Pelodiscus sinensis: one gene and its partners. The protein of the gene in region 3 interacts with the protein of the main gene of each other region in a pairwise test. Links are inferred from orthologs where the notes say so. Each region holds a gene or a part of one and is shown on either strand. Other genes may lie near its edges. The genes, in order: NECAB2, CLIP4, KIFC3 and KANSL1.

Region 1 (7,454 bases), about 7.6 Mb from region 3:
CACAACTAATTAACTCATAAACCCATCGTCTCTTTCAATTTGAGCCCAGAATTGGGCTTAGATCACAAATAAAGTGAGTTTTGTTGTCTCTTGCAGGTGCCAATGCCTGTTGTGGATTATGGCATGATTCAATAAGATTTGTCAGGAAATCTATGGACTAGTATAGAAGAGATATTGTTGGTTTGGACTCAGGGATATTAACAGACTCTAGCTACTAGCTATTTTTTTATGATCACTACAGGTTTATGGTTATATTTTTTTAAAGATGGAAGACTGCAAAACTGATGTGTATGTTTTATTTATTACATGCCACCATATCAGAAACTATAATATAACAGTTTTCATTATATTTTCTTCAGGAGTTGCCTGTACTGCCCCCCCCCCCCCCAACTCTGTTCTCTTTTAATTCCATTTAAATGCAAATAATTTACTAAAACAGCTAACAGAAAATATTAAAAAGTATTAAATACACATTCCATAACAATACTGACATAAATGTCACAAACTACTTGCATGTGCTAAAAACAACTGTGTGAAAGTCATAATATACCTGTCCTTAATTTTTCGTTTCACTATTCTTCAGAGAGTTCTATATTTTTGGTGAAAATGCTATTAAGAAAAGTTTCAAAGTTTACTTGTAGAGGTGCAAGTTATTTAACTGGTATGAAATAGGACTATGGATAAACATGAGATGTAAAGATTGTTAAATTACCTAAGTTCTTATACTAGGATTCTATGATTAAAAATTGAGATTATTATAGTCATAAGAACAGCAGAGAAGAAAATTTGAGAAAACCTAATTATATTTAACAAGCATCATGACGCACATAATGAGAACATGTCCTAACCTCTCAAGAAAAGAACACTGCAAAAGGTAATCTGTGTAATCACCTTTATTTTTCAAAGGAATCTAGAATTCATGCCTGATACAGAATGGCTATGTTTCCCCCAAGTTATTCATTTAATTACTAAATTAAATTTAATTCCTGTCTGAAATTTACTTGCCTGAGCCTTGGGAGATTAATAGTTATTTTATTCTGTAACAAATTCCCTTTTTAAAAAACTTCTGCTTAATGTAAGAATATGCTAATTTTTTGCTTAGTTGAGAGAAGAAATCTACCCCAAAGGTTGGAATGAACTCATTTACTATGTATCCCTTACTGTCAAGGATTTTATTACAATTAATATCTCCTATACTTTTCTTTCATATTTAAGTATCTCAAATACGGCAAGTCTACACAGCAGGGTAAAAGCCAAATTCAATTATGCAACTTGAGCTATATCAATTGTGTAACTAAAGTAGAAATATTTTAATTGGACTTTTGGTTCTGTCTACCCAGCAGGAAGTAAAAGAAAGAACACTCTTCCTTTGACTTCCCTTACTCCCCATAAAATGAGTGTTACAGGAGTTGGAGTAAGAAATCCTTCGACTTGCCATTATTTCAAAATATGGCTTGCAGTGTAGACACACTCATTGTTATTTCAGAATAACATCAGTGATTCCTAAATAATGCTGCTGTGCAGACATAGCCACACAGATTTCATGTAGATTGAAATATCTAATGCTTAATGTACCTTTAAATGCCAAATCATCAAACTCATGTGAGGCTTAACATTCAAAAACATCCACTATTTAGCAGTGGCTCCCAGCCTCTCCAAACTACTGAATCCCTTTCAGGACTCTGATTTGTCTTGTGTACCCCCAAGTTTCACCTCACTTAAAAACGACTTATAAAATCAGAGAAACGTACAAAAAGTGTCACTGCACCATCAAGCAACTTTTCTGTATTTATCATTTATGCCATAAAATAATCATTTGCACCATAAAATAAATCAATTGGAATATAAGCATTGTCCTTACATTTCACTGTATAGGAGATAAAGCAGTATAAATCAGTCATTGTATGAAATTTTAGTTTCTACTGATCTTACTAGTGCTTTTTGGAGCCTATTGTAAAACTAGGTTAGTATCTAAATGAAGCCCTCTGTGTATCCCCAGAGATATATGCACCTCAACTGAAAACTATAATTTCACTGTAGGAAATGTACCAGAAAAAACGCCATGTATTGTGCTTTTTTTAAATTTTCAATAAGAATATATTGGATGTGATAGTCCATTTCCCAAAACTGAAGTGCAATTCCATCACACCGATAAACAAGCAATTTAATCCATGCTTGGGAACCCTGGAACTATTCTTCGGTTTCAGTGTTGTAAAAGTGCCAGAACCTGCCCAGAAAAGAGCACAAACAAGCCTCATGGATCTAATCTCAAACTGCAGAGCAGGTGTTTGCCTTAACATATTGGTCTGAATGGAGGGGCCACCTCGATTTCACTCTTTCTGGCTCCCATCTCTCCCTGCAGCTTTGAGCCACACACCAGATTCTTTGCAGGTCGGCAGGCACGCTGGGAGGAAAAGCCGGGACTGTCCCGGCGACAGAAGGGGGAGGGAGACACTGACACGGCAGAAAGGCGCTCGAGGCGGCTCCCCCGCAAGCCGAGGCTGGCTCGGGCACTGAACGCCCCTAGTGAGCCCGGGCCGGGGGCACTGTCCCGGGCTGCTCGGTGGCGACTCCTGGCAGCCACAGGCGCGGGAGAGATGGAGATCTCAGGGCTGCCCCACTGACCCGGCCGCCTTGCCCCGGGCTCAGCAGCTCCCGCTCAGCCCGCAGGGCCGGGGCCGCTCGCCTCCCAGCTGCACCCAGCCTGGCAAGATTTGCGGCCCCAGCAAGACCCACCCCGCCCGGGTCCCCACCTGCTCCCTGCCCGGCCTCGCTGCTGCAGAGCCGGAAGCGGGGCCGTGCGAAGGGGGCCCGGGGGCAGCTCGCAGCGCCCCCACTTTGCGGCTCTTCGCACCGGCCCGGGCCCCTTCGCTGCTGCCCGTGCCCTGCGGGAACTCACATCCAGGATGACCGAGGTGCCTTTCCTCTGCTCCGGGGGGCAGAAGCCCTGCCCGGCGGCCGCCTGCCCCTCCAGCGGCAGCTCCCGCTCCGAGAGGATGCTCTTGTCGCTCATCTTGGTGACTATCCAGCGGAGCAGCCCGTCCAGCCCCCGGAGCTGCGGCTGCTGCTTGTGGAGGATCTTGTGGACGCTCTCCCTGCAGTAGCGCGCTGCCTGCTCGCACATCTTTCACACAGTCCTCATGCTGGAGCCGGGGTATCCCCTCCCACACAGGCTGCATCACCCTGACAGCCGCCCGCGGCTCGCCCGCAAACCCCTCCCTGCGCACTCCCGGGGGAGCAGCCGGGCCGGGTTCAGGGGTCCCCCGGGAGGGAGAGTGGGGGACGCTGCTTTATGCGGGGTGGTCGGCGCTGCAGCCCTCGGCCCCTTCCTCAGCACCCAGGCTCCCAGCCCTAGGCACTAGCCCCCATTCCTCTGCTACCTCTAGGGCCAGAACCCAAGAGCCTGGCCCCCAGCCCTGGACCCCATCCCCCATTCCTCTGCTACCTCTAGGGCCAGAACCCAAGAGCCCTGGCTCCCAGCCCTGGACCCCATCCCCCATTCCTCTGCCTCCTGTAGGGCCAGAACCCAAGAGCCCTGGCTCCCAGCCCTGGCTCCCAGCCCCCTCCCATTCCTCTGCAGCCTCTAGGGTGAGAAGGCAAGAGCCCTGGCCTCCAGCCCTAGGCACTAGCCTCCAGTCCTCTGCCACACTCAGGGTTAGAATCCACTCGTCCTGACAGCCCAAACTGGAATGGTTGGTGCTATGACCTGGCACACAGGATCACAATACCACACGCATTTGGGTTGCGTGGCCCTGCTGAAGGAGCTAGGAGCTCTCTCTCCCACAAGCTGTTGGAGACAATTTGCTGCATTTTAAAAATACCTCTACTTTGTCTTCATCATTACCAGACCAAAAATTTCAACTCTTTTATGCAGGGCAACTCAGAATGCAGCCTACCTCCACCTCTGGACACAAAGCCCTAACAAAACCAGCCAGCTGGGTTCACTTGGCTCTTTGTAGAGCTGCTAAGCGACCTGCCTTGCTCAACTGGACAAATATTACTAGTCCTATAATGCTGCTTGTGAAGAGAGACACGTTGTGCTGTTTACAAACACAGAACAAGAGATAAATCCTTTGCCAGACGGCCATTAACCCACTTCAGCTTCCTACCAGCACAGACTGATCACACAAAAAATATACAAACTGAAAGGACAATAATGGAGAAAATTAAGAGAAGAGATTGACCCAAGCAGCAAAGGGCAGCTCCAGACTCTCTCACTGTAAACCTCATGGAGTCATCTCTAATTAGAAGTGTACTGCTAGGGTCAGTGCACAGAGCAGATCAGGCTGTGTTTTGATGTTAATTCCAGTGAACTTTGTTTTATTTTGCTATTAGTATGTCAGTGTGCTATTTCAAAATGATTCATCATTATAGATATACATAAATCATATAAATATGCATATATGTTTTAAATATTAATGGTGTCCTCAAGGCTACCTCCTTTCGTGTTACAAGATATTTTGCTTGTAGTTGGCTGAGTTGAGACAGAACTAGGCTTTGTTCCATGATCCTCTATGACTGGGGAGTTCCAAAGCATTTTAATGCACCCACTCTTAATAGAAAAAAATCATGGTTTTGCATGCCATTGATCACCTCCCCTCTGGGCTGTGTATGCAGGGACCACTTAGGGTATGTCTACACTAACCCCCTAGTTCGATCTAGGGAGGCTAATGAGGGCAATCAAAATCCCAAACGAAGCGTGGAATTTAAATATCCCGTGCTTCATTAGCATGTTCCCAGGTGGTCGCCATTTTAGAAATCGCCTAGCCAAAGTAACTGCCCGCATCTACACGCGGCAGTGAAACAGGATTCCGAATTAAAGCCCTAAATCGAATTAGCTGGTAAACCTCATTGCAGGAGGAATACGAGCTAATTCGATTTAGGGCTTTTATTCAGAATCCCGTTTCACTGCTGCGTGTAGACGCGGGCAGTTACTTCGGGCTAGTCAATTTCTAAAATGGCGACCACCCGGGAACATGCTAATGAAGCACGGGATATTTAAATCCTGCACTCGTTTGCAATTTTGGTTGCCCTCATTAGCCTCCCTAGATCGAACTAGGAGGCTAGCGTAGACATACCCTTAGAGCAAACATTTGCGGCAGCTATTGCAATTGCATTTACATGGAAGAAATTTTTCACAGCATTAATGCAACTTTGTACCTGGAAGGAAAGAAGCCACCCAACAGCATATAACCAGCCACTTTTCCATAAATCACCAAAGAAGTACTATACAGAACATTGGTAGTAATTCCAGAATCTCTGCCCTAGGGTACTGGCTCCGGAGTACTAGGCTAATATGAACACTCCAAGCTTCCTTTGAGGATTCTTGGCTAGCCAGCCTCCTTTTATTTGGTGGTCCTCAGTGTTGCCCTGGCCCTTATACTAAGAGCAGGCTGCCATGGACATAGATTGAAGCTGTCCGGGCTCCTTCATGAAAATTTCATTGCTAAGGTTCTGTGCTGATCTCTGCACCTCCGCCCACTTTGAGAGTCACTGTATGTTATAATCCAAGATACTCCTGCACAAAAGGCCTGATCCAACCTGCACATTAATTGCTCTTCCTTTCTCTCTCTTATCATTTAGTATTTTTATAATGGGAGCCCATGCATTGGACTGTGTTGTTTGTCTACACTAGGGACTGTTACACTAAAGCAGCCACTCCAGAGCAAATCCCCTGTGTAGACATACAGAAGTCTACTTCTTGCTTCATCTTTTCTTTGATCAAGTGAACCAGGAAGAAACTTTTTTATTGTTTCATTTCAAAAGCGTAGGTGTTCAGCTGCTGCTTGAAGACAAGAGACGAGGAGCTCAGTTCTCTCTGCTGGAATAAGCATATAATAGCAGTGGGCTCCGGAAATGTGTTATAAATAGAGCACACATAAAGACTGGCAGTGGGATACTACTTTCATCCTCAGTACCCCCTCAGTTAGGCAGTACTTTGGCTGCAGAATTTATTTTTTGCCCAGCAACTCAAAATTAATGACAAAAAATCTGGTTTATTGAAACTGCCTGCAATATGCTAACTGGGCTGTGCTCATTTACAGTGAAATTCATTCCTCTGATGGGGCTAGCATGATACCTATGCACCACTTACGTTCCACATAACCATAAGCCTTACAGCAAAGAAACCATAAGAGAAGACATAAGGTTCATATCTTATCCTTTCTTTGAGCAAGGTGTAAAAGGGACTTCAGTGATATCCGGTCCATCTCCTGGATTTTCCCAAAGCAGTAGCTATCTCCCTTAGAAAATAGCTGTGGGATGGAATTTGACTGGCCATGTTGCCCATTCTGGTTGGAATTTTGAGTGGATTAAAGAATTTGGAGCTGGAAAAGATCAGTTTGGTCAAGCCAGTCTTCCTTATTAGTGGGCAATTGTTCCACAGTGTACTTTTTCTAAATCAGTAGTTTTAAAGTATGTCAAGAGAGGCAACACTTCTCTTGAGAGATTATTCCATAGCTCAGCAGATTGTGCAGTAGTGATAAATACCATAAACTTCTCTATATACCTAATTATACCCCCGTTCACTAAATTATGCCACTTTCTCAATGGTATTTACTTGCTCCAAATATTCATATGTTTATCTTTGCCCTTTAGCCATTCCTTAAAAATGCCATCTTTGCTAAATGCATATGTGAGTAATTCAGTTAGTTATCCTATTTTCCATTTTCAGCTCATGATGATCTCGCATTTATTTGTTATTAAGAATTGTTCGCTGAATACATTTACAAATAATGTCTTTCCAGTGCCTTTTCCTAGCAGTTTGTTATGAGAATTCATTCACACTGGAAACTTTGGGTTCTGTATACAACATGTGGCAAAATAACACTGCCTTCCAGCATAACATGCTAGAAAAAATGTTTTGGTAATATGAAGTGACACTAGAAAAACATTGGCAATTTCCATGGGGCAGCTAAATTTAGGTGGTGGACAATGTATTTTTCACATACAATGCTCATGGGAGCATTGAATTTAGGAGGGAAATATGTAACTGGTGGCTAAATGGCAAAATGCAGATAATTCAGAGTGAAATTAGACACAAGACAGCTACATTTCCCAATGGGCCATGAGAGAGTTAATCAAATAGCTCCCATAAAAGTCAGCATTGGTATGTGGCTACATATGCATTCTCTTTGAAACCTTAGGCAGTGATTTCTTCGTACTGTTGTCAGAAGAATATAAAATGGCAAATGAACTCTAACTCAAACTGCCCTAATGCCTAGCTATTAACGGTACATTTCGCTTGTTTTACCATACCTGGCACTTTAACAAGGAAGCAGTTTGTTTTCTCTTGAGATACCAATATGCAGAGAGATTTTTCCATTTTTTCACCAGAGCAGAGAGTGATATTATTGACAGCTCCCAGTTGCTTTGAAAGCTTAATGGATACAGAGTACCACTTAATTGGAAATATAGTAGAATAAAAAGCAGGGTAACATTTTTCAACAGACCAG
Region 2 (7,577 bases), on a different chromosome or scaffold from region 3:
TGTGCAACAGTCTTGTCATCCTTGACTGCTCCTTTAACATCTCAATCTTACACTGGCCACACTGATGGTTTGGCAGGATTCCTTCTTCCAATGTACTAAAAAAATTGCTGTTAGTTTTTGTATTTTTTGCTAATTGCTCTTCACATTCTGTTTTTGCCTGGCCACGAAATGCTCCACGACCCCCCAGGAAGACTGACCTAATAACAGTCTGGTACATAGAGCTGAAAATGTAGACCACAAAAAAGTAAGGGTAATAATAAACAAATGCTAAATAAGGTCACGTGTCTGGCCAGAAGGGAGGGTGCAGGAGGAGACTTGGAGCAGGGTGCTTGGCCAGGAGGAAGGGTTGAGGAGGGGTCTTGGCAGAATATCTGGCCAGGAGCGGGTATTGGGGCAGGGTGTCTGGCCAGGAGGGAGGGTGCAAGAGGGGACTTGGGGAAGGGTGTCAGAGCAAGCTGGGAATGTGGGGTCTTGTCATGGAGAGGGGAATGAGGGGGGTTTGGGTGTGGGGTCTGGGCATGAGGGGGGACGCTTACCTGGCTTGGTACCCTGCTGCAGCAGGGAAAGCCTGCAGGGAGCATGCTCTTGTTCCTGGGAGGGGTGTGTGTGTGGAGAGAGCTCAGTTCCACACCGCCCATGCAGCGGGGAACCCAGCGCAGCTGCAGCAGCAGCACCAGGCCAGGCTTCCTGCTGGCGGGGGGTGGGGAGGGGAAGGGGAGAGAGGAGAAACCCTGACCATCCCCGCCAGATTAAACTTTGCCATTTTCCCAGCAGGCTGGGGAGGGAAGGCGCAGGGGAGATAGAGGAGCAGCACATGAGGGGCAACAGAGCCCAAGACTGCCCCGGGGGGGGGGGGGCAGCAGAGCCCAAGCGTGCCCCAGGTGGGGGGGGGGGAGCAGAGCCTGAGCTGGGTTCCCTGCAGGCAGCAGTTTTAAAATGCTATGGTGTGGGAACAGCTCCTCTCCTCTGGGGTGGGGGAGCAGAATTTTTTCTTTTCTCTCCATGGCACTGAACACAGTTTAAGAAACGCTAGTATAGATATTTAAAAAGTGTATTAGAGAGGTACCCAAACAATATTCGGATCTGACTTGGATAACTTTGGGTGTATCTGGAATTTGACCCTGTTCAGGGTCACAGCCTACTTCTATTTGAATCGTGTACTTTGGGAGTACCTCTGATGTGTTCATACACAATAATAACCATTCAAATTACTTCAAGGGTAAAAGAGTATATCATCTATATGCAACACACATATCTAGCCATCTTGAACAGCAGTCAAGGTATTTGTTTCTTGTAGCTACTACCCAATTTAAAGAGTTATCTGCAGGTGGTGGGTAACTCATGTCTGTATAGCCCCTTTCTGAGTGACTGTTCAGTTCAGAGCTAAATGATAATATATTGAGGTGACCTAGTGTTTCCTATTAGACCAGATTTCTGCATGCATGTGACGGGGTATATCAACCCCACATTGGACTTGTAAGAATTAACCAGGGCTCCCTGACTGAAAGAGCCCCCGCCCAGCCCTTGTCTGCCCCCAGCTGGCGGGCAAATATCAAGGCTGGTGGAGCAACTCAGTCAGGGCTGACCACTGGGGAAGAAGGTGCTGCCAGATCTCTGGAGGAAGAGCTGTGGACGGACCGACCCATGGAGGCCAGACAGTGGGGAATAGCTGGAGAAGCCCCCAGTCTGAAGGGAAGTGGCGAAGGAGGCTCCTTCGGTGAGTCTGGTAGGAAGTAGCCAAGGATGGGGAGACAGATCCCTGAGAGCTCAGTGTGTTTCAGGTGAATTCTCCGCTGAACTAGTGGCAGGCCACCCCGTCACTGACAGGGCTCTAGACTGGAACCAAGTCGAAAGGGTGGGCCTGGGTCCCCCTACTCCATCCCCATTAACCTCCAAGGGGGATGCAACAGTGACTGTGATTGCTAGGCCTTACTGCCCTGAAAAGAGGGAGCTTCTTACTGACTGCAGCCACTAGGTCTCACTGCCCTGAGAGCAGGGAGCGTTGCTACAGACTCTGGCCGTGAGGTCTCACCACTCTGAGGAAACGGGGCAATTACAGACTCTGGCCACAGGGTCTCACTACGCTTGAGGAAGGGGGTGTTTTACTGACTGTGGCTGCTGGGTCGGACTGTCTCAGGGGAGACGGGGTGTAGTTATTGTTCCTGAGCCAAAGGTACCGATACACACATGGGGTGCGGCACTCTTTGGGAGGTCTTAGAGGCCTCGTGCCCTGCCCCTAAAGGGGCTAGGCATCCTGACCCCAAGACAATGGAGTAAACATCTCTTTTGTACTTGGCACAGAATGATGACAGACTTTGGAATAATTGGTCTAGTTCAGTGATCCCCAAACTTTTCACTGTCATGTCCCCCTTAGTTCTGTCTATGCCCCTTCCTCACACCTGAGAGTGGGGCTGCAGCTCCTGCAATGGAGGACAAAGGAGACCAAGGCAGAGGCCACAGCTGGGGGTAGATATGGGGCCTAGAGTGGGACTGAAGCCAGAAATGGAGCTGCGGCCAGGGAACAAGGTTGGTGGCAGAGCCAGAGCCACAGCTGGGCCCATGGCTGGGTGCAGCTCTGCTCCAGTTCCTGTCCCCAGCCTAAGGCCCTGGCCTGGGAACAGAGGTGTGGCCTAGGGCTGAGAATGAGGGTGGTAGTGGAGCTGCAGTCAGACCATGAAAAGGTTGCCAGATGGTTTAACAAAAAATATTGAACCCCCCCCCTCCCCCCAAAAAAAACATGCTGGGAAAAAATTCTGACGAGGAAAAAAAAGGGGGGGGGAGGGAGACCAAAGTTAAGCAAAAAAAAGGGGGGGGGAGGCCGAAGTTGTTAAGCAAAAGTTGCACCACTCTCTCCAGTTTGGGGCCACAAACTAACCCCTAGTGCACCCACCCCTCCCCCTGAGCCAGGAAACCCCAGCGCCAGGAGCTCCCCGCCCCAATCAATTCCCCCTCTCCCCCATGCAGAGCCAGGCACCGGAGGAACGGGACGGCTGGGTAAGTTAATCTGACTTTTAAAGTCGCTGCTCCTGCTGCTTAGCCTGGCTGCCTTGGCTCACAGTGTATAGATGGAGGCATCACGTGGCCAGCTCTCGGGTCTCTGCTGGTCACGTGGGCCAGAGCAGCGTGCACTCTGCTCCCACCCCAGCCCGGCGCTCCCCCTAGCGCGGTGCCCGGCAAGTGCCCTCTCCTGCCCCCCTTCGCTACGACTCTGCTGCGCTCCTCACTCCCCTGCCCCTGCCAGATGCAGCAGGGGAAAATTGTCCCCGCTGGGCTTCCGTCTGAGGGAATCAGGAAATACCAAACATTTCACGTGTCTGGTATTTTCTGGTTTTTTATTTTTTAACCGGACGGAGCCCGCAAATACCGGACTGTCCTGGTGAATACCGGACACCTGGCAACCCTAGACCATGCTGGGGGCCAGCAGCCAGGCACATGGCTGGGTGTGGAACCGCACTCAGGCTGGGATGGGGCCAGTCCGGGAGCCTGGTTTATGGCTGGGAGTGGGTGGTGTTGCAAAGCAGGTGGTGCTGCCTCCACACTCCGCTGTAGGGGCTGGCCTGGGCCCACTGTGCCTTCACTCCCCAGATTGTTCCTCCATGCCCTGCTAGGGGTGTGTGTTTGACAGTTTGGAGGCCTCTCGTCTAGATCCTTATTTTTAAAAATTGCATTTGGTTTCATATTAGTTTGTGCTGGGCCTTTTAAACCAGCAGTTTAATTTGTAACTAGTGTTGTCCCTATAACTTGGAAAAAACAGTCCATAATTCAGTGTGAACAATAATATCTCAACAGGCAGAAATGTATATGTGATCTTTATAAATTGGTGGTTTTTTCCAATGGGTCTCTTGTATGCTGTTGAATGTCCTGGGTCTTATGGGCCTAATCCTGATGGCTGTACACAACCCAAGCAGGGATAGTTCATAGGTGACAGGGAAGAATGGAATCACCTCATCACAATCCACACAAGTACTGATATGGTCAACATCACCACACCATGAATTTATCCTCACAACTGCCCTGCAAGTCTTTCAGGCAAAACAGTGGTAGGCCAGACTTACCCTTAAAAAAATCTCAAGTAGAAGAAAGCCCCTTGAGGCCTTTATGCAATGCCTCAGAGAAAAACAAAAATGAGCAGTTGAGCTAAATTAGCAAAAGGATCCTGAAGGTTTCCATCACTTTATCTAACATTAGTTAAAGATTTGCCTTTTGTAGGGAACCTAACTTATTTTTGCTGATCCCTTTGAGCAGTCACTTATGATGGGTTTCACTGCATACAGGAGGGACACTGTGTGGGGGGACATGACTACTCAATCAAGAGGATTGGGAGTTACAGCAACTGCCTAGATGTGCTTCCTGGCTTCCACCTTGCCTGAGATTTCCTATCTTGTATGTCAAAGCCCAGTCCAACTCCTTTGACCTTGTGAAGGTTGAGAGACCGTGGCAGGGTTAGAAACTGAAATCCTCTATTTGTCAACAGAGCCAGTGCAGTTCAGGCAGATGCAGTTTCAACTTTTCCACTCTCTCTTGCCAATACTCTAGTGTACAGCACAGACTTTCCATCCTTCCCCAGGAGTGAGAGGTGCTGTGAGCTCCTTGTACAGAGACTGTTTGCTGAGGTGGCAGCCTGCAGATTACTCGCATTTGCAGAATGGTTTCTGTGAAGTGAGACTGCTGCCAGGTAAGAGACCAAGCAATGAGGATGAGTACTGAAAACCTATTTTGATTAAGACTTTAGGTTAGGACATATACCAAGACATCTTTAATATTATAATCACCATCCTCAATACTGGAATTTACTTAAAAATATCGGGTCATCCTAGAGATGATTTTAGTACCATGTGCATTGCATTGTTCCCTTCCCTGTGGACACAAAGCCATGCTTTTAATGAGTGTTTACATGGCAGCACAGCTGTTCAGACCAGCCAAAAATGTCTGGTATTTTTATTTATGGTACAAAAAATGTATCTAAGTCTCAGTACCACAGAAGACACCTTGACAATGAATGGTCAGATTCCATTAATGCAGGAGACAGTGTTCTAGAAGCAGATTATTTACCACATCTCAGAGAGAGAAATTTGCAAGATAAATACTCATGTTTTTTTCAGCAAGATTGTATTATTCCTTTTTGATTTGCCATATTCTTTTCTGGATTATTTTAGTTTTCCTCTATTAGATCCTGTATAGCAGGTGGCAATTTGCTACATGGACTGTTGTCTAGCAGAGTGTCTAATGATCAGAGTAGAGAACTGAGTGTTAGGACTCATCAGTTTTATTTGCAGCTTATGCACTGACTCAGTGAGCATGAAAAAACTTAAAAAACAATACCTAGTCTTGCAGCATTTTAGAGACTAACAAAACATGTAGATGGTATCATGAGCTTTTGTGGGCACAGCCCACTTCCTCAGATGAATGAACTTGGCTATCTCATTGAGCATAAGAACGGCCATACTGGGTCAGACCAAAGGTCCATCTAGCCCAGTAGCCTGTCTGCCAACAGTGGCCAGCACCAGGTGCCCCAGAGAGGGTGGACCGAAGACAATGATCAAGCGATTTGTCTTCTGCCATCCTTATCCAGCCTCTGACAAACAGAGGCCAGGGACACCATTTCTATCCTCTGGCTTATAGCCTTTTATGGACCTAACCTCCATGAAATTATCTAGCTTCTCTTTAAACTCTGTTATAGTCCTAGCCTTCACAGCCTCCTCTGGCAAGGAGTTCCACAGGTTGACTACACGCTGTGTGAAGAAGAACTTTCTTTTATTAGTTTTAAACCTGCTACCCATTAACTTAATTTGGTGTCTTCTAGTTCTTCTATTGTGGGAACTAATAATAGCATGGACAAGGGTATCACATAACTTTTCTATGCTTTGTGTATCCTCCTCTGTACAGTGGGGAAAATGCATACTTGCATCCCAAAGTTTTTGTGAGGTCCAATGTGATATAATGTTCTTTGACATTTTCAGATGATGAAAAGAGCCATGTTAGAGCCAAAATACTGTTAAAAGTTTATAGTCAAAAGAGCTAGGAGAGAAGTATTCACCTCTTGCCCAGAATCCCCATCCTTATACTGACTATATTTGCAGGCATACACCAAAAGAAAGAAACTCTCAACAGGCTCCGAGGTAGTAGAGATGGGAAACCTATTTGGTCAGTGTATCCAGTCCTCTGCCATTACAGGGTTTGATTCACAGTAGAGAATATATGAGGTGTTAAACGTGATACTATGCTTGAGAGGAAGGTGGGGCTGCAAAGTGGAAACTGTCCAATAAGATTAACTTCTTTGCCTAACATTTAAAAGCTGTCTAGCTGGTACAGATTTTAAGTTGCGGGCTGTATAGTAAGTCTCAGCCCTGTTATCTGTAGGATCTATGTGCTGCTGGAGGAAAGGCAGGAACATCTGGTTCACAGCATTGTAATGAGTGCTTTGGGGAAGGCCATGGTCCGTATTAACTGGCCTTGGCTTCAACTGGGGCTTGAGGTCCAATAGTAATAATCGAGAAAAATGATAGAACTGATGACAATGTCTGCAATGTCCAAAGCTGTTAATTATACAACTGATTAAACAGCAATTCAGGCCTCATAGAAAACTTTTAGAAAGCATCTTATCAACAGGCAATGTTGCCTCTTTTTTAGCATATTGGTGCAGTCTTGACAAAGCAATAAATTAAAAAATAATATATTCCGTATTGCATCTTTCATATCACTGACTGCCTAAAAGGCATGACAATGTTAAATAATGCAGTCATAGGGTTAAATGTAAGCAAAGAGAGAGTCTGAGTGGTGGGAAAAGATACTTTGAAATGAAGTTTGTCAATACCATGGAGACCAGGAGGCTATTTCTGGTGGCAGAGGCAAAGCGAAAGTTTTTGAACGAACAGGGGTGAGACTGTATAAAGGGACAGAGAATAGGCAAGTGTAAGAGGAGTGCAGGAGACTGATTTTATTCTAGTATGAAATTGTTGCTAGGTCTGTCATCTTTGTTCCCTACTCCTGCCACCTATTCCTCAGCTGAAGTCACAATCCTGTGTTTGTGACATTGTTCTTGTAATTATTCATCATAAATGGCAGTGGGTCTGTGATGAGAAGTTTGGATCCTGATCCAAAATGTTTGGATGCTGTAACCCAGAGTTTTGGTTTGACATGGCCTAAAAGTACTATGACAACTTCCATGTCTATGGAGAAGACGCAGGATCTTATGGCTAGATCCACAATAGTACTTAGGGACCCAACTGCCTCTTTAGGAGCCTAAGTCCAATGTTAAGACACTGCTGATGTTCTCACATCCATTGCTCAGCTGCCTCTTGACCCCAGAGGGACACAGTTTTCACCAGTGGGTGTGTGCAAAGTTGCCTAAGCACAGAATCTGCCCACAGCTGAATAGCTGCTCAGGGCCTCACTGAAACTTAGCATCCCAAAACAGGATTCTCAAGCAGATGTTTCCCCATCTCTCTTGCCTGTGGGGATCAGTGTTCTCAGTGCATGCCTACAGGATTGAGGCCTTCACATATGACAGCTGGGGTGAGTTGGGTTTTTTCAGGATCAGGCGTGTGTATCCTTGTCCATGTCCCAGCTCTGAACAC
Region 3 (7,327 bases):
GCCGTTTTTAAATGCCCCCATAGTTCAAAGTACCTGCCCGTAGCTACACGCGGCACAGACTAGGTAGTTCAAATTAAAGCTCCTAATTCGAACTACCATTATTCCTCCTGCAAGGAGGAACTATGGGGCATTTAAAAACGGCGACGCCCAAGTACATGCAAATGAAGCCCGGGATATTTAAATCCCGGGCTTCATTTGCGAGTTCGAATGCCTACATTAGCTACCCTCGTTCGAACTAGTGTGGCAGTGTAGACATACCCAAACAGATTTATTAGGGCATAAACTTTCATAGGTAAAACCCACTTCATCAGATGAGTTGGAGTGGAAGCTACAGAGGCAGGGGTATTTATATGGCGTTAACGAAGCCAATCAAATCAGGGTAGAAGTGGCTCATTAACTGCATTTGGTATGGAGATGTGAATATTAAAAGAGGGGAAATTGCCTTTGTCGTACATTAACCAGTTCAGATCCTTACTCGGTCCTGAATGGTATTGAATTTGCAAATGAGCTCCAGTTCAGCTGTCTCCCTTTGTAAGCATGTTTTGAAATTCTTCTGTAAAAGGATGTCCTGGGCATTCAGTCATGGATTTGAAAGTAGCCATCCTTCTACAAAAAATTTCAAAACCCAATTACCAATGGAAAGCTTATGCCCTAATAAATCTGTTTGTCTCTAAGGCAATGTCTACACTGCACAGTTATTTCGGAATAAGCTATTCTGGAATAGTTATTCCAAAATAGCTTATTTCAAAATAGCACGTCTACACTGCAGAAAAGCCTCAAAATTAGTCCGAGGCAGGCTTCCCTAATGTAGATGTGATACATCGATTTAGAGCCCCAGGAGGAATAACTTAGAATGGCCCTGGTGAGGGGCTATTTCGAAATAGCAGCAGCTATTTCAGAATAGGTGTTATTCTTCGTAGAATGAGGTTTACAAAAGTCAGAATAAGCTGTCCGTTATTTAGAAATTATTTCAGAATAATGGAATTGCTGTGTAGACGCTCACATAGTTATTTTGAAATAACTCCTGTTATTCCGAAATAACTTTGCTGTATAGACACACCCTAAGGTGCCACAGGACTCCTCGTTGTTTTTACTGAGCACAAAATCATACTCACTTCAGCAATAACACTACAAATATTCCACAAGCCACATAACGATAATCAGTGCTTTTTTTTGTGATGGTACTGCCCAGTACGCAGAGCTTACCTGGAAAGAACAGAGAGTACCGGCACCTCTGTAATGAAAATGGCTAACAGTTGGCTGGGTCTTAAAGAGTACTGGCACTTTTTTTTTTTTTTTTTTACAAAAAAAACACTGATGATAATGATATAGAGCCATAGTCTGAAATCTTTACTTAGTTTTTACTCAGACAAACTTTCACTGTATGTCATGAGAGCTTGCCTGAGCAATGACTGAGTAAAATGTGGGAAATAATTTTAACATCTGTCCCACAGCGAGCATGGCTACAGTAAGGACTGGTGTTGCATAAGGAACAAACTGAACTCACCAGAACCAGTTCCATCAGATATGCATTCTTGACTGCAATATAAACTGCAGAATAGTGATAGAAATGTACATATACACTGCAGTGAGCTGAAAATTGCAGTGACCCCAGATAATTCCATGTCAAGAAACTCTCAAATTCACATTTTCCTACGTGGCAGTAAACAGTCAGACAAGAAAGACCATTTGGAGCAGAAGAGGGAAAAGGGGTAATTGACAGGCATGCTGTGGTTAATGAATGTTCATTTGGATTGTATTAAAGTGTAATTGAATGAATACACTAAAAAAGTCTGGCAAGTTTCAATGTTCTTTTTAGTAGATCGTTTTTCATAGCACAAAATCATCACAGTTGTGACTGTCCGCTCAGAAAAATCCCTTAATTTCATTAGCTGGAATGTTGGGGTCAGAATTGATATGCATTACCAAAACTTTATGACAGAGCCAGTGCTATGGGAGTCGCTTTCATTAAGCATAAATGTTTAGAGAATTCTCAGATAAGGAGAAATAAGCCAGTTAAGTCAGGCAAGTTAATTCTTATTTTACTTGCCCAATGGAGTGCATAGGACTAAGTGAATCTACAACAATCGAAATACATCTGCGATTGGTGCTTTTGGATTAGCCAGGCATTCTGCCCCAAGCAAATATTTAACCTACAACTGTAAAACCTCTGGGCAGATAACTACAAAAGCCTGGCTAAAATTTAACTCCCTCACTTCTCCAGACAAACAACCTGATTATATATATATTAAAAACACAAAAAACAAAAAACCCCTAATCCAGAAACACAGATAGGAGCAGAATTAAAGTCTCAACTCTCCTTGTTGAAAATCCTCACCAGAAAGATCAATTGTAATGAGACTGTGTCTCTAGAGACCATTTCATTACAGCCTAGCTCATTATTAGAGTTTTACTGCAGCATAGGAACCTTCAACTGTGAGGAGGTTTTTGGGAGCAGCTGAGATATGATTTGCCAAATCCTATATAAAATTAATAAAATAATAATATTCTGTATCTCTACAATATCTTTTATCCAAGGATATCAAAGCTCTTTACAAAGATTAAGCTGCTTGTGAGGCATTTATACTCATTTTAAAATGCACAAACTGAATGGATTAAACCCAGTGGCCCAAATTCTAAGATATGGCCAACTTGCATTCAACACAGCTCAGGACTCGGAAGGGAGTATTATAAAAGTAACCTGACCACCTTTGCATACCCATATTCAGGTGGCCAATGGATCAAAATCCAGTTTAATCCACAGCATAAATCAGCAAACTTTAGGACTCTGGTAGCTTATGATGGCTACTTAGGGTCCCGAGGGTGCATTCCAACAGATGGGGGTCACTGGAACAAAGAGATGCTTGGGTCAGACCCCTTTTCTGTGACCATGCCTTGCACCAACAACCAGTATCAAGGATAGCATGGAGCTACTATGGCAGCTCTAAACCACTCAAAGAGTCACAAGCACACTTCATCTATACAACGTGTCATTATTACACTAGTATCGAAATAACATTTCTCATACAGAAGTTGAACATAACCTCACAGACTGACAAGCAACGTATCACAAAGCTGCCTTCGTGCAAAAGCTGCAACATTCAGAGGATTGTCTCTGCTCCTGTTAAGTGACCTACCTTTTAATTTTGTCTAATTTTTCAAACTCCTCTGAAACAGGATCTCTTGTATATGACCACTGATTAGTCTTAATGCTCTAGATCTGTGCACTATACCATGTCCGTTTCTTCTCTATCCCTGCTAAACAACGTGTCAGACATGCATGCCTGTACAGCATAGTCCCAGCTTCATGCCAGCTCTGATGGCTGCCTAGGAACCACGAAATCAGATATCGCCCTGAGGAAGAATACACAGTTCATCCAATAGGTCATTAATGTTTCATGGCATAAACTAATGAGGGCTTCTGCTTATGAAGCACTCCCAGAAAAAAGGTTAACAAGGAGAGCAAGATATGGCAAGTGTAAGCCTGTGCCGTAATACCATAGAGATATATTCCAATTCTGATGTGAAAGGACCCAGCCCTGAGAGGGCAATTTGATTACTAGGGGCATGTCTACAGTAGGAAATTATTTCGAAATGATTACATTTGACTTAACTCCCAATTTTACAAAAATCAAAATAGCATTCCCACTACGAGGAAGCCTCGAAATTAGTCCGAGGCAGGCTCTGTTAATGTGGACATGCTACCTCGTCTCGGAGCCCCAGGAAGCACTGGGGAGTAATTCATTTGAATGCCTCTGGGGAGGAGTTATTTTGAAATAGCAGCACCAGAGTGTCCACACGAATGCTATTTTGAAATAACTCTTTTGAAATTAGCATTATTCCCCCAGGAAAGCAGGAATGCACATTTCAAAATAAATGGCCAATTATTTCAAAATAATAGGCTTGGTAGTATGGACTCTCTGCTTATATAGGAAGCCCCCAACTTGCGACGCGATTCGTTCCGGAGGAAGCATTGCAAGTCGGGGGCGTCGTAACTCGAACCTGCATTTACAGCAGGCACCGTGCGCCGTCGTAAATGCAGGCTAAGGACGTAAGTCGGTGGTTTCCGGCCCCTTCCACACTTACAAAAATGGTTGTAAATGTGGGGGGTCGGAACTCGGGCGGTCGCATCTCGTGGGGCCTCCTGTAAATTTGACCTAAAGGGGTTATTTCAAAATAATGCCCAAGTGTAGACCAGGGCCAGATTAATTCACTTCAAGACATTTTCACAAATACCAGCTTGAGACCACACTTTTCTAAATAGCAATTCATGCAGTCTCCTCTCTAGCCTCAAACAATTATCCTTAAGTCTTTTAGTGATGTGCTAGAAAGCACCTTCATAGATGAACAGCAGCAGTTTTCTGTGCCTGACAATGCTTTCCCAGAACCAACAGTGAATCAGGTGTGTCAAGTGCCTTAGCTACAGATTGTGCAATATATCTTGAAGTATTATTAAATTAGCTAATTAATGGATTTTTTGTTTTATTTTGGAAGTGAAAATGGTAGGAGTAAGAATTAATCAGAGACTCCCCAGAGCACATTTCCAGTAGTACATTAAAAAGATACAGCCAATCTATAGGACAGATCTAAAGATTCTGCTTGTCACTAATCTGTTCAAATGCAGTACTATTTTTCCTGCACCTTTCTATTCTTTCTCTGCTGAAACAGACTTTCCTGAAGACAGCTGTGGTAGAAGACAAAAAGCTACTATTCCAGTCATCCTAGGTATCTATGTTAGATTGCATCCGGTTTGTTTTGCTATGTACATCTAATGAGAGGGCAGTCCAACGCCTGATGCTAAGTATCATGAGTCTGAATCACTAGACTTCATGCAATGAAAAATAGAGTCAGTAAATTACATTGCACAGATGTTGAGTCATGGCTGGAAAATTAATTCAGTCTCATAAAACACTCACAGTTCAATTCAGGAAATGTTACTGCCAGAAATTAAGTGATCGTTTTGAGAAATGCACATCAGTGTAAAGTACATAGTAACTAGGGCTATGTCTAGACTGCAGGCTTCTTTCGAAAGATGCTCTTTCGAAAGCATCTTTCGAAAGAGCATCTTTCGAAAGATCGCGTCTAGACTGCAGGCGGATCTTTCGATAAAGGAAATCCGCTTTTTCGAAAGAGAGCACCCAGCGAGTCTGGATGCTCTCTTTCGAAGACGGCCTCTTTACATTGAAGAACGCCTTCCTTCGAAAGAGGAACTTTCGAAGGAAGGCGTTCTTCCTCGTGAAACGAGGTTTACCGCCATCGAAAGAAAAGCCGCGTTCTTTCAAAATAATTTCGAAAGAACGCGGCTTGAGTCTGGACGCAGGGGAAGTTTTTTCGGGAAGGCCTAGGTGGCACAAAGCTCTTTCTGCTATGAGGTTTTAGAATCTGATTTATGCTGTTCATCAAGACAGTCTATTAGGGTTAAAAAAAATCCAGCCTGTATAATGAAACACATTGAGTTCTTTCTTGTAGGGCCCAGATCATCTCCAGATGTGGGGACATGGAATTTGGTAACTATTATGAATTGTAAGCAAGAAAACGTGTGAGGTTTATTTTATATGTAACCAAGAAAGCTACATCTACACTGTGGCGCTATTTTGGGATACTGAAGGTATCCCAAAATAGCTGTCCCATGTCTTAGCAGCACACCCATTATTTCAAAATATAAGGGGGTCACTATTTGGACGTCCCTGTAAACCTCATTCCACATAGGGTTGCCAGAAGGTTTAACCAAAAATACCGAACACCCCCCCAGACACACACAAACACACACACACACACACACACACACAAAACCACCGGGAAAAAATTCTGTTGAGAAAAAAAAGGGGTGCTGCACCTTTAAATGACCCTGCACTCCTCACTCCCCCATCCCCACCAGATGCAGCAGGAGAAAATTGTCCCGGCTGGGCTTCTGTCAGAGGGAAACAGGAAATACCAGACAGGGCAAAAACTGGACACCTAGCAACCCTAATTCCACAAGGAGTAAGGGGTGTTTCGGAATAGCAGGTTATTTTGAAATTACAAAATAAGCTATTTTGAAATTCACTTGAAATAAGCTACGTAATTTGCGTTGCTCAAATCGCATAGCTTATTTCGAGCGATGGGTGCAATGTAGATGCACCTGAGCAGAATGAACACAGCATTATATTAGGATTTACACATAAATCTTCTTCGTTGCATTTAAGAGAGAGGCCAATATTGCCTATGTTAATGAAACAGGTATATCCATGCAAAGAAAAATGTGACAGAAGATAATATATAAAACTGTGATGGGTGTTTATTTACATCACACTTTACAAGTACAAATTCAAAGTCATATACGCAAAACACAGCAGGCAAATAATAATTATAGTATGCAAATGGGCAATCAGAACTAGGGTATTTCCCAACAAAATTAAATAGCATTGCTGTTGAATTGCTTTGGTTGCTAAATATTGGTCACTAGATATTGGTCTGCTTGCAGAACTATGAGGTAACACTACTTTTGCTGCATTGGCATTAATACCTACAGCTGCCATTAGGGGTCAAGATAGTCAACAACTACTAGGAAATGTTGCTGAGAACATTTTCTACCAGCTGTAACAATTTAGTGTCTCCTGAGAAAAGTTTACAAGCATCGAGTAATTATTACTGGTTGCCTGTTACTGTTAATCAGCAGTGTAAACAAGCTATTATAGTACAGCATCATTCTTCAGCTTTTATGTCTAAAGTTCCCAAGTGTAACCTGTTAATGAGACCAAAACACTGTAATAGCAGATATCATGTACTGCTGCAACAGAAAGTGTATGTCTCTACATCTCACCACGCTTTTCAATACCAGGTAATTTAAATTACTCAAAACAATAGGTATAAAGTAGAAACCTGTAGGATTATTTTTAAAAGGTCTGTTCTCTAAAAACTGCAAATAGGTTATTTTGTTTTACATAGTTTTTGTGCCATTGGTTAAAAATTAACTGCTGTGATACCAGGGAAATGGTAAGGCTCAATTTATACTATATGGCTGTGCAGGGGCATATGAGAGAGTAAAGTCTCCCCCCATGCAGCCTCCCCAGGATCTAGACCCATAGGGATAGGTACTTTATAGCAGCTATTCCTCGCTGAGCAAGAGGGTGGGAATGCATGCCGGGTGAAGTGTTGCAGGGCTGGCGTTGTATTTGTTATTGAGACGTGATCGCTTTCCTGTGGGCCTCTTGGTGCAAGCTACACACATAGGCTACGTCTAGACTGGCATGATTTTCCGCAAATGCTTTTAACGGAAATGTTTTTCCATTAAAAGCATTTGCGGAAAAGAGCATCTAGATTGGCACGGACGCTTTTCCGCAAAAGC
Region 4 (7,308 bases), on a different chromosome or scaffold from region 3:
CAGCATAACTAGTGTGAATTTGCCTAGAGGATATTTTATATTCTGTAACAGAACTGCTTGTAAATTCCATCCTCTGCAATCTCACTGAAGGAAGGGTCTTTCATTTGGCCGGTATAATTTAGGAGGGAGGGAGTTGGCTTTCATAACAACCAAGAAAAATACTTAGTATGGCAAGGGATTGTGACCCTGTCTTCTTTTAGGACTGTTGCCCTTTTTGATTTCTATTAAATGCATACAGCTTGGCCAAATCTATACAATTCTACATTGTAATAATCACTACTACTTATATAATGCTTCTCCCAAAATCAGCGTACCTACATCAGCTAATCCTCAACTCCTTGTTCAGGCATATCAATATTATCCTAATTTTAGAGATGGAAAAAACAAGGCACAGAGAGTTGAAATAACTTATCCACCACAAATAGTAACTAGAAGATTTCCTATGCCAATGCTGAGTACACTAAACCATGCTGACAGATGCATGCAAAATTATAAGCACGTGTAACAATACTAGGATCCACGTAAACAGAGCAAAGAGAATATGGCAGCCATATACAAGCATTTCAGGGGTGTACACAACAAGAAAAGATACATTATTTGGGGGTTATTCAAAAATGGAACCTTGGACCAGTAGAATGAATCTAAAAGGGAGGGGGAAGTAGAATATCAGAAAGTGTTTCTTAATGGTGAGATTAGACAGACTGAAGCTGTGAATGCTCTATTCAATGAGTCAATTAAAAGTAGGCTGGACAAAGTATTAGACAAAATACCTTGAGGATCTGTCCTGCACTAACTGGAGTGATGGGGACTGCATTAAAATATACTAGATGGGACTCAGTAAATGTGCTCCTTTTCTTCATAATTTCTAAAATGTTTCAAATGTACTCACAATATTCTGTCTTCTGTATAAAGTGTTGACCTCATCAAGCCCTATCAAGTGTTTACAAAACACACACAAAAAAAACCAATACGGTTGGTAGTAGCAGGTTATAGCTTCATACAGTCAGAGTGGCGCTGACAGGATAGAGCTACTGTGACAATTCTAATGCATTTGGAAATCTCCAGATAACCTGACAAAGAGGACCAGAAAGTCTTTCAGATTGAATTGATTTACACCCTGGAAAATAATTTCTAACAATTCTGTGAATGATTAAAATATTAAGGAAGTTACTTGGGTCCCACATTTTCAGTAGGAACTACCCAACTTCTAGTTTACAACCAGTGGCGGCCCGTCAATACAGGCGTACTAGGCAGTCGCCTAGGGCGCCAAGATAAATGGCCGTTGAGGGCTTTGGAGGCAGGGGTGCCGATTGCACGTTTCGCCTAAGGCGCCAGTTGCTGGCAGCTCGTCTAGGGCCGCTCCTGTTTACAACATACAGTGACCTCCCAAGTACACTACATCAGGAGACAGTGTCAAAAGCTGATAAAGCATTTCTGGTACCATGCTGAATGATCCTGAAATACTCACCTAAAATTATAGTTATTAGTATAAATGAATAGGTTTTTTAATATTATATTCACACTTAAAATACATATACAAATTCAAAATAAGTTTCATATATATTTAAAAAAATAAAAATTCCAGAAATTAATTGTATTTTTTCCAATTTTACACCACCAATTTTCTTCCTCAGAGAGAGCCCAAACCTAAAAAGTTCACTTTCAGTATTGAGCTGTATTCCTGGAGTTCCTTTTTTGGTTAATTATGTTTCACGAAAGTGTTAAAGAGGTCCTGGATTTTAAACCTCTCCTGAGAATAAATGGTACCATCAGAATTCTAAACAAAGACCTCAACTATCATGGTGCTTTTCATAATTCAGGCATTTTTGTATTGAACAAAAGTTTGTAAACAAGGTACCAGTTTAAAAATGAAGAACTAGAAGTTCCTACCTTGCAGGACATCTTAATAAAATCCATAGTGTCTGGAGCAATTCAGAAAAGACTCAGGATGGAGTTCTGAAGGACTTGTAATCTTTCCAAATCCAACCAAATTCCGCAAATCTTTCTGATTTCAAGAAGTGGAAATCTTTTGTCTATAACAAAAAACAACAATAAAAAAAGAATCAAGGGAAAGAAATATAACTTGCAAACAAAACATATATGATACAACTAGCCTTAAGAAAAAAAAAATCAGGATTTAGAAAGTAGACATTTTATCACCAACTTCACCCAAAAAAGCACAATATATAGCAAACACACAAAACAAACTATGTAAAGAATCACAATAACTGGAAAAATAGACACACCTCTGTAAACTCCTGGAGGACAAAATAGTTGGAAAGTGCAGACAAAAATCTGCACACTATATAGATTAAATAATTCAGTTAAAGAGATGAAAGGAATGTAAAAAAAGGATTGGGATTTAAGCACCTAACTCCCTTAGGCTCTCATGAAAATTCTCTTTTAAGAAATCACCTCCATGAGAAATTACACAATCACTTAATTTTATGCCACATTTATGAATGCCTGCCACCCACTGAAATACATTTATTTTCCAGGATCAGGTCTTTGGGGGCTGGGGAAGGGAATAATTTACAATAACAAAAAAAAGTCATAGAGTTATTTCTGCCAGGATTTTGTTTGTTTTAAATCATTCTAAAACCCACCTTGGGAGTATCAAATATGCCATTTTTTTCAATGTTTGGGTAAAATGGAGGACTGGACAAATAGAAGACATCTAAGAATATTTTCTATCCCATTTCCTAAAACTGAATAGCTAAAGTCTTTACAGGCTCTTTGCCATGTTTGCTTCTGTGACGCCTTTGCCATGTTAGTGCCAGTGCCTCTCCTCGCCTTCTTTTGCTCCTGTCCATGCCTTGGGGATCGTGCATGTCTGTGGTCATTTTGTTTCCCTTAACACAAGTAAACAAACAAAACCCAAACGCCTGAGAAGCCACAACCGATGACTCGCCTGAAAACTCCAAGCCACGGCTCAATCTCGCTGCAGCTCGGGAGTTATAAAGTGTCCTTGCGCAGGCACTGGAAGCCCTCTCCAAATTACGACGCTCACCCCGAGCCCCCTCCAGTGTATCCGCTCTGCGAGGAGACGATCCGGGTGTCTCCCAGCATGCGGCTGGCCCAGGTTAGAGCTCATTCCCGGCCCCCTCTGCGGATGCCCCCTGCCCGATGCCCCAGCAGCTCCCAGCATTTGGCCTGCTCGTTTAGCCATCACCATTGTTGCAAAATGCCACAAAATATCCCCCCCCAATGTGGTGTGTGACTGAGCAGCTGCAGATCCCCCCCCCACCCCGTCTATTTGCGTTTCACGTCTAGCTGCAAAGTTCCTGCTCTCCCCCGACCTCTCCGTCCCCCACCGCCCCCCCAAACTCACTTTCTGGCTGTGCAAGAACCATTCCTCCTTCTTCCCCCGCCCCCCGCCTTGGCCTGGTGAATTAGCTCTGAGCAATCGCTCCTCTCTGCTTGCATGGAAGAGTCACAGGGGGCTGTGCTCACTGCAGGGCAGGCGACTCCACGGCCCGATCCAATAAAGTTCTGACCCTCCCCTCACCACCCTCGCCCCCAGCCCCAGTGACTCCTCGTGCAAAGTTGCAGGACGGGGGCTCCTAGCACTACTTGGCCTGTTGTCTATGGCAGCACCATAGGGGGTGATCGGTCCCTCTGCCAGCCACACGCTCCCTCTCCCCGGCAACATGCCTTTGCAAGGCTACAGCCCCCCCGCTGCCTTGCCCCGCAGCCCCTCGGCCTGCCCTGGCCAGGTGCCCCCCCGCCCAGCCCTCCACAGCTCCCCCTTTTTCCTCCCCCGATTGCACCAGCTCCAGCCTCTGCTCCCACATCCCAGCACCTACCTGCACAGCTCAACCAGCCTTGAAGTGGGGATCTTCCTCCCTCCTCCCCTCTCATTGGCTGTGGGGAGGGCCTGGGCCGGTGTGGTTGGAGGAGGGGGTGTCTGTCAGCGTCAGGGGGCGGGGCGGGAGGGGTGATTGATGCGGGTGTCTCGGCTTGTCCCTGCCTCTGCTTGTGTTTCCCGGAGATGTTTAAGGGAAGGGGAGGGCTGCATGTGGCTGCCAGGCAGGGCCCATCCACTGGATCAGTCCCCCCCCCCCCACTCACTCACCCTCATGCTTGAATGAGATAAGGGGCAAACTACACAGCCTGGGAATGGGGAGACTGTGTGAAATGGGCAGGGGGAGTCAGGGAGAGGGATGGTGAGAAAGAGGGCATCCTGTTGCACTCAGCATCTCTGCTTCTGAGGGGCACGGGGACCACTCTGGACCACAAAAAGACCTCTGCAGCCTCCAAGCTGAGAGAGGCTTTGACACACACCCGCACATGCCATCACACCACATCTGGGCCTACAGGGGGAAGGAAAAGCTGGGGCGCGCCTGTCACGTCGCAGCACGCCGCTCTGAGCTAGGAAACTCACCAAAGAGGGAGAGGGAAAAGCAGGAGGATTCCTGCAGTGAAGGTATCCCTGAATATCATATCCCTGCTGGTTTTAGAAGAAAAACAAAAGTTGCTTTTCCTGTTGTGGGCACACAATCTATTAGCAGTTCTCCCAAAGACTGTCCCCCTGAATAGTGATAGAAATCTATGCTATCATGTGCCGAAAGTGTCCGTCTGCTATGTACATTGGACAAACATCTCAGACACTTCGCCAAAGGATTAATGCCCACAAAACAGATATCAGACAAGATCACAAAGAGAAAACAGTTTCTTGCCATTTTAACCAGAAAGGACACTCTCTCAATGACTTGACCACCTGCATTCTGCTACAAAGACCTTTTACATCTGCACTTGAAAGGGAATCCTCTGAACTGTCATTCATGTTAAAATTCGACACTTGCCAACAAGGACTTAACAAACATTTGAACTATCTCACCCATTACCAAGACAGTTTCCCCAATTATCACCTCTAATACCATTAACTCACAAACATCCCACTCTCCCTACCTCTAATATCATCAATTCACAGACACTTACCTTCCTTTCTTCCCCCCCCCCCCCCGCATCCCCCTCCTGTTCTGCAATGTGATTTGTCCTTTTCATATTTGTTCATTTTTTTAATTGTATCCTTTGGTATATATGGTTGTGACTATTTTCTTCCACTATTTGATCTGAGGAAGTGGGTCTGGCCCACGAAAGCTCATCATCTAATAAACCATCTTGTTAGTCTTTAAAGTGCTACATTGTCCTGCATTTTGCTTCATGTCCCCCTGAACAAACTACTAGCTGAGACAGGGCAATTGTTAATAGGTTAAGTGCAAAAGCCCCACAAGGATGGTCCACTAACATATCTGTCACACATTGGAGGCCCAGATATAATCTTTTTCCAATGATCACACCCCACTGCCTCGTAAACCAAGAGTAGCTGAAACCTGAGTGGTGATGTGACAGCAATGCCCATAGCACTGCCATTGCTGTAGTGTGGGCATGGAGCCAGCTTGCTTGTTTTCCAGGAAACTCTAACCACAACCACAAGGGCCTTCCTTCCTCAACCTGCCAGGATTACAGTTCCAGTGCCAGGGCACCAGGTGTAGCTGCAGGTGGTACGTGCCACCTCAGCAATTAAGTCCAGTATAGTGCACATATTTAATTAGGAAGTTACTTCTGCTCCTGGTTTTTAACATGTTAAAATCCTAATGCAGACAAGACAATTTGCAGTTTTAACTCATTAGCCTGATAGACTTTTTCCTAGGGATTGCTTTGACCTGCTTACATGTTAAAATTACAGCTTGCTACATCAACACCAGGATGCTAACAAGTATTAGAACACACATCTCTTTTTTTTCCTAGAGAAGGCAAGACCATTATTTAATTTTTCCTGTTATATTGTACATTTTTTCATTGTCAGTGGAGTAAGAGTGGTTACTGCTGCTGTGGCAATTTCAGCAAGAATCCATGTCCGGGAAACCCAGATATGAAAAGCTGGTTTCTCAGCGCATGTGAAGTGGGTCTGTTGTAAGTTCTATTCAGAGATTTTTCAGTTGAGGCATAAGTCACATACTGAGCTGATAAACTTTCAGCTTTCAAGAAGTCTTTACATTTCCAGTAGTTGTTACCTCCCCTCCCAGGATCAGAAGACAAAGAAGGCCAACCATTTTAAAGTATGAAGCCCTTCCTGAAATGTAAGACTAAAAATGCTAAATTGTTAAGTAATCGGATTTATTTTAGGCACTTCACAGTGCAATGTTGAGTTCTGTTTATGCTTAATATTCTTTGCATAGAAATGGACAAATTATTATAGCATGCATTATGGTAGAAAGAGTCTAACCCAGGGCCTGAGAGTGATTAAATAATATTACTCAGTACTCTACATTTTGTAAGCACTGTTCAACTATTAGCAGGGTTAATGAGTTAAACCTCATGACCCTGCTATGAGATAGGTATAAATATCCCCATTTGGGGAAACTGAAGCAAAGAAAGGATAAGTGATTTATCCAAGCTGAGCTGATGGTAGAACTAGATCTCAGTTCCTCGTTTTTAGCTCCATGCTCTATCCGCTTGATCACATCTAAAAGAGTCATGTTTTTAACATTTTAAATTGAGGAAAGGTGAGCTGTGCCAGAAGCACCACTGGACTGCAACACAGAAGAAGGTTTGGGCATCCACTGATCTCTTTGCAATGATGGAACCCCAAAAGTCAAGATAGTGCAGTGTGGCAATCATGTAACAAAGCAACTTTTACCTTCTAGATATCTTTAAAAAGGGTGACTAAGTTCAGCTGTATGGATTTGAATTAGATTCTGTGCAAAACCATTCTTCCTTGAGTAGAGATTATTCTTTGCCATAGTGAGTAGGAGTAGTTTTCCTGTGGAGACATGAGGACTAGGTACACTCCAGCTTGTTGAAGTAGGCCAGAACTGTTCTATGTATATCATAATAAGCATAATAAGGATGTGTTGATTTGAATCCACAGTAGACAGGATTTTTCAGACTGCTCTGAATTCTATTACACTGGTGCTGTTCTGTCCCTCTAAGGAGATCAGAATCACTGGACTATTTGAAGTATAAGGGGAAACCCTGGACCCACTTAAATCAATGGCAAAACTCCCACTAACTTCAGTGAGGTCAAGATTTCACCCATAGAGTGGACAACCCCAATCCATGGAGTTCATTCATGGAACTCTGTGATCATTTGTTTGTGTGAAAAACTAGTCATCAGCTTTCCAGGGTGGGAGTCACAGGTGTCTTCAGAGCATCACATTGCACACTATAGCTCTAGCAAATAAGTAGATTACATCAGTGTAGGCATCTTAAAAGAAGATGGCTGTTACAAAACAATTTTTTAAGAACTGCTCCAAGTGTGTTGATTTTTAATACTGTAGGAAAGAACATCTGACAAAGGTG

Evidence for each region.
Region 1: the proteins of KIFC3 (region 3) and NECAB2 interact in binary tests that used the Homo sapiens proteins (3 or more experiments, as listed by UniProt). The two-hybrid records come from large-scale screens. The link is inferred for Pelodiscus sinensis from reciprocal best matches to the Homo sapiens genes KIFC3 and NECAB2.
Region 2: the proteins of KIFC3 (region 3) and CLIP4 interact in binary tests that used the Homo sapiens proteins (3 or more experiments, as listed by UniProt). The two-hybrid records come from large-scale screens. The link is inferred for Pelodiscus sinensis from reciprocal best matches to the Homo sapiens genes KIFC3 and CLIP4.
Region 4: the proteins of KIFC3 (region 3) and KANSL1 interact in binary tests that used the Homo sapiens proteins (3 or more experiments, as listed by UniProt). The two-hybrid records come from large-scale screens. The link is inferred for Pelodiscus sinensis from reciprocal best matches to the Homo sapiens genes KIFC3 and KANSL1.

The regions. Positions count from the first base shown.
Region 1 is NC_134722.1:38,261,127-38,268,580, forward strand, and holds the start of NECAB2 (N-terminal EF-hand calcium-binding protein 2), read right to left. Parts: upstream 3,161-7,454; 5' UTR 3,125-3,160; coding exon 2,900-3,124; intron 1-2,899. UniProt on the Homo sapiens protein: May act as a signaling scaffold protein that senses intracellular calcium.
Region 2 is NC_134713.1:160,484,786-160,492,362, reverse strand, and holds the start of CLIP4 (CAP-Gly domain-containing linker protein 4), read left to right. Parts: upstream 1-4,556; 5' UTR 4,557-4,675; intron 4,676-7,577.
Region 3 is NC_134722.1:45,848,728-45,856,054, forward strand, and holds the start of KIFC3 (kinesin-like protein KIFC3), read right to left. Parts: upstream 3,273-7,327; 5' UTR 3,138-3,272; intron 1-3,137. UniProt on the Homo sapiens protein: Minus-end microtubule-dependent motor protein. Involved in apically targeted transport. Required for zonula adherens maintenance.
Region 4 is NC_134739.1:6,916,251-6,923,558, reverse strand, and holds the start of KANSL1 (KAT8 regulatory NSL complex subunit 1), read right to left. Parts: upstream 3,237-7,308; 5' UTR 2,912-3,236; intron 2,034-2,911; 5' UTR 1,891-2,033; intron 1-1,890. UniProt on the Homo sapiens protein: Non-catalytic component of the NSL histone acetyltransferase complex, a multiprotein complex that mediates histone H4 acetylation at 'Lys-5'- and 'Lys-8' (H4K5ac and H4K8ac) at transcription start sites and promotes transcription initiation.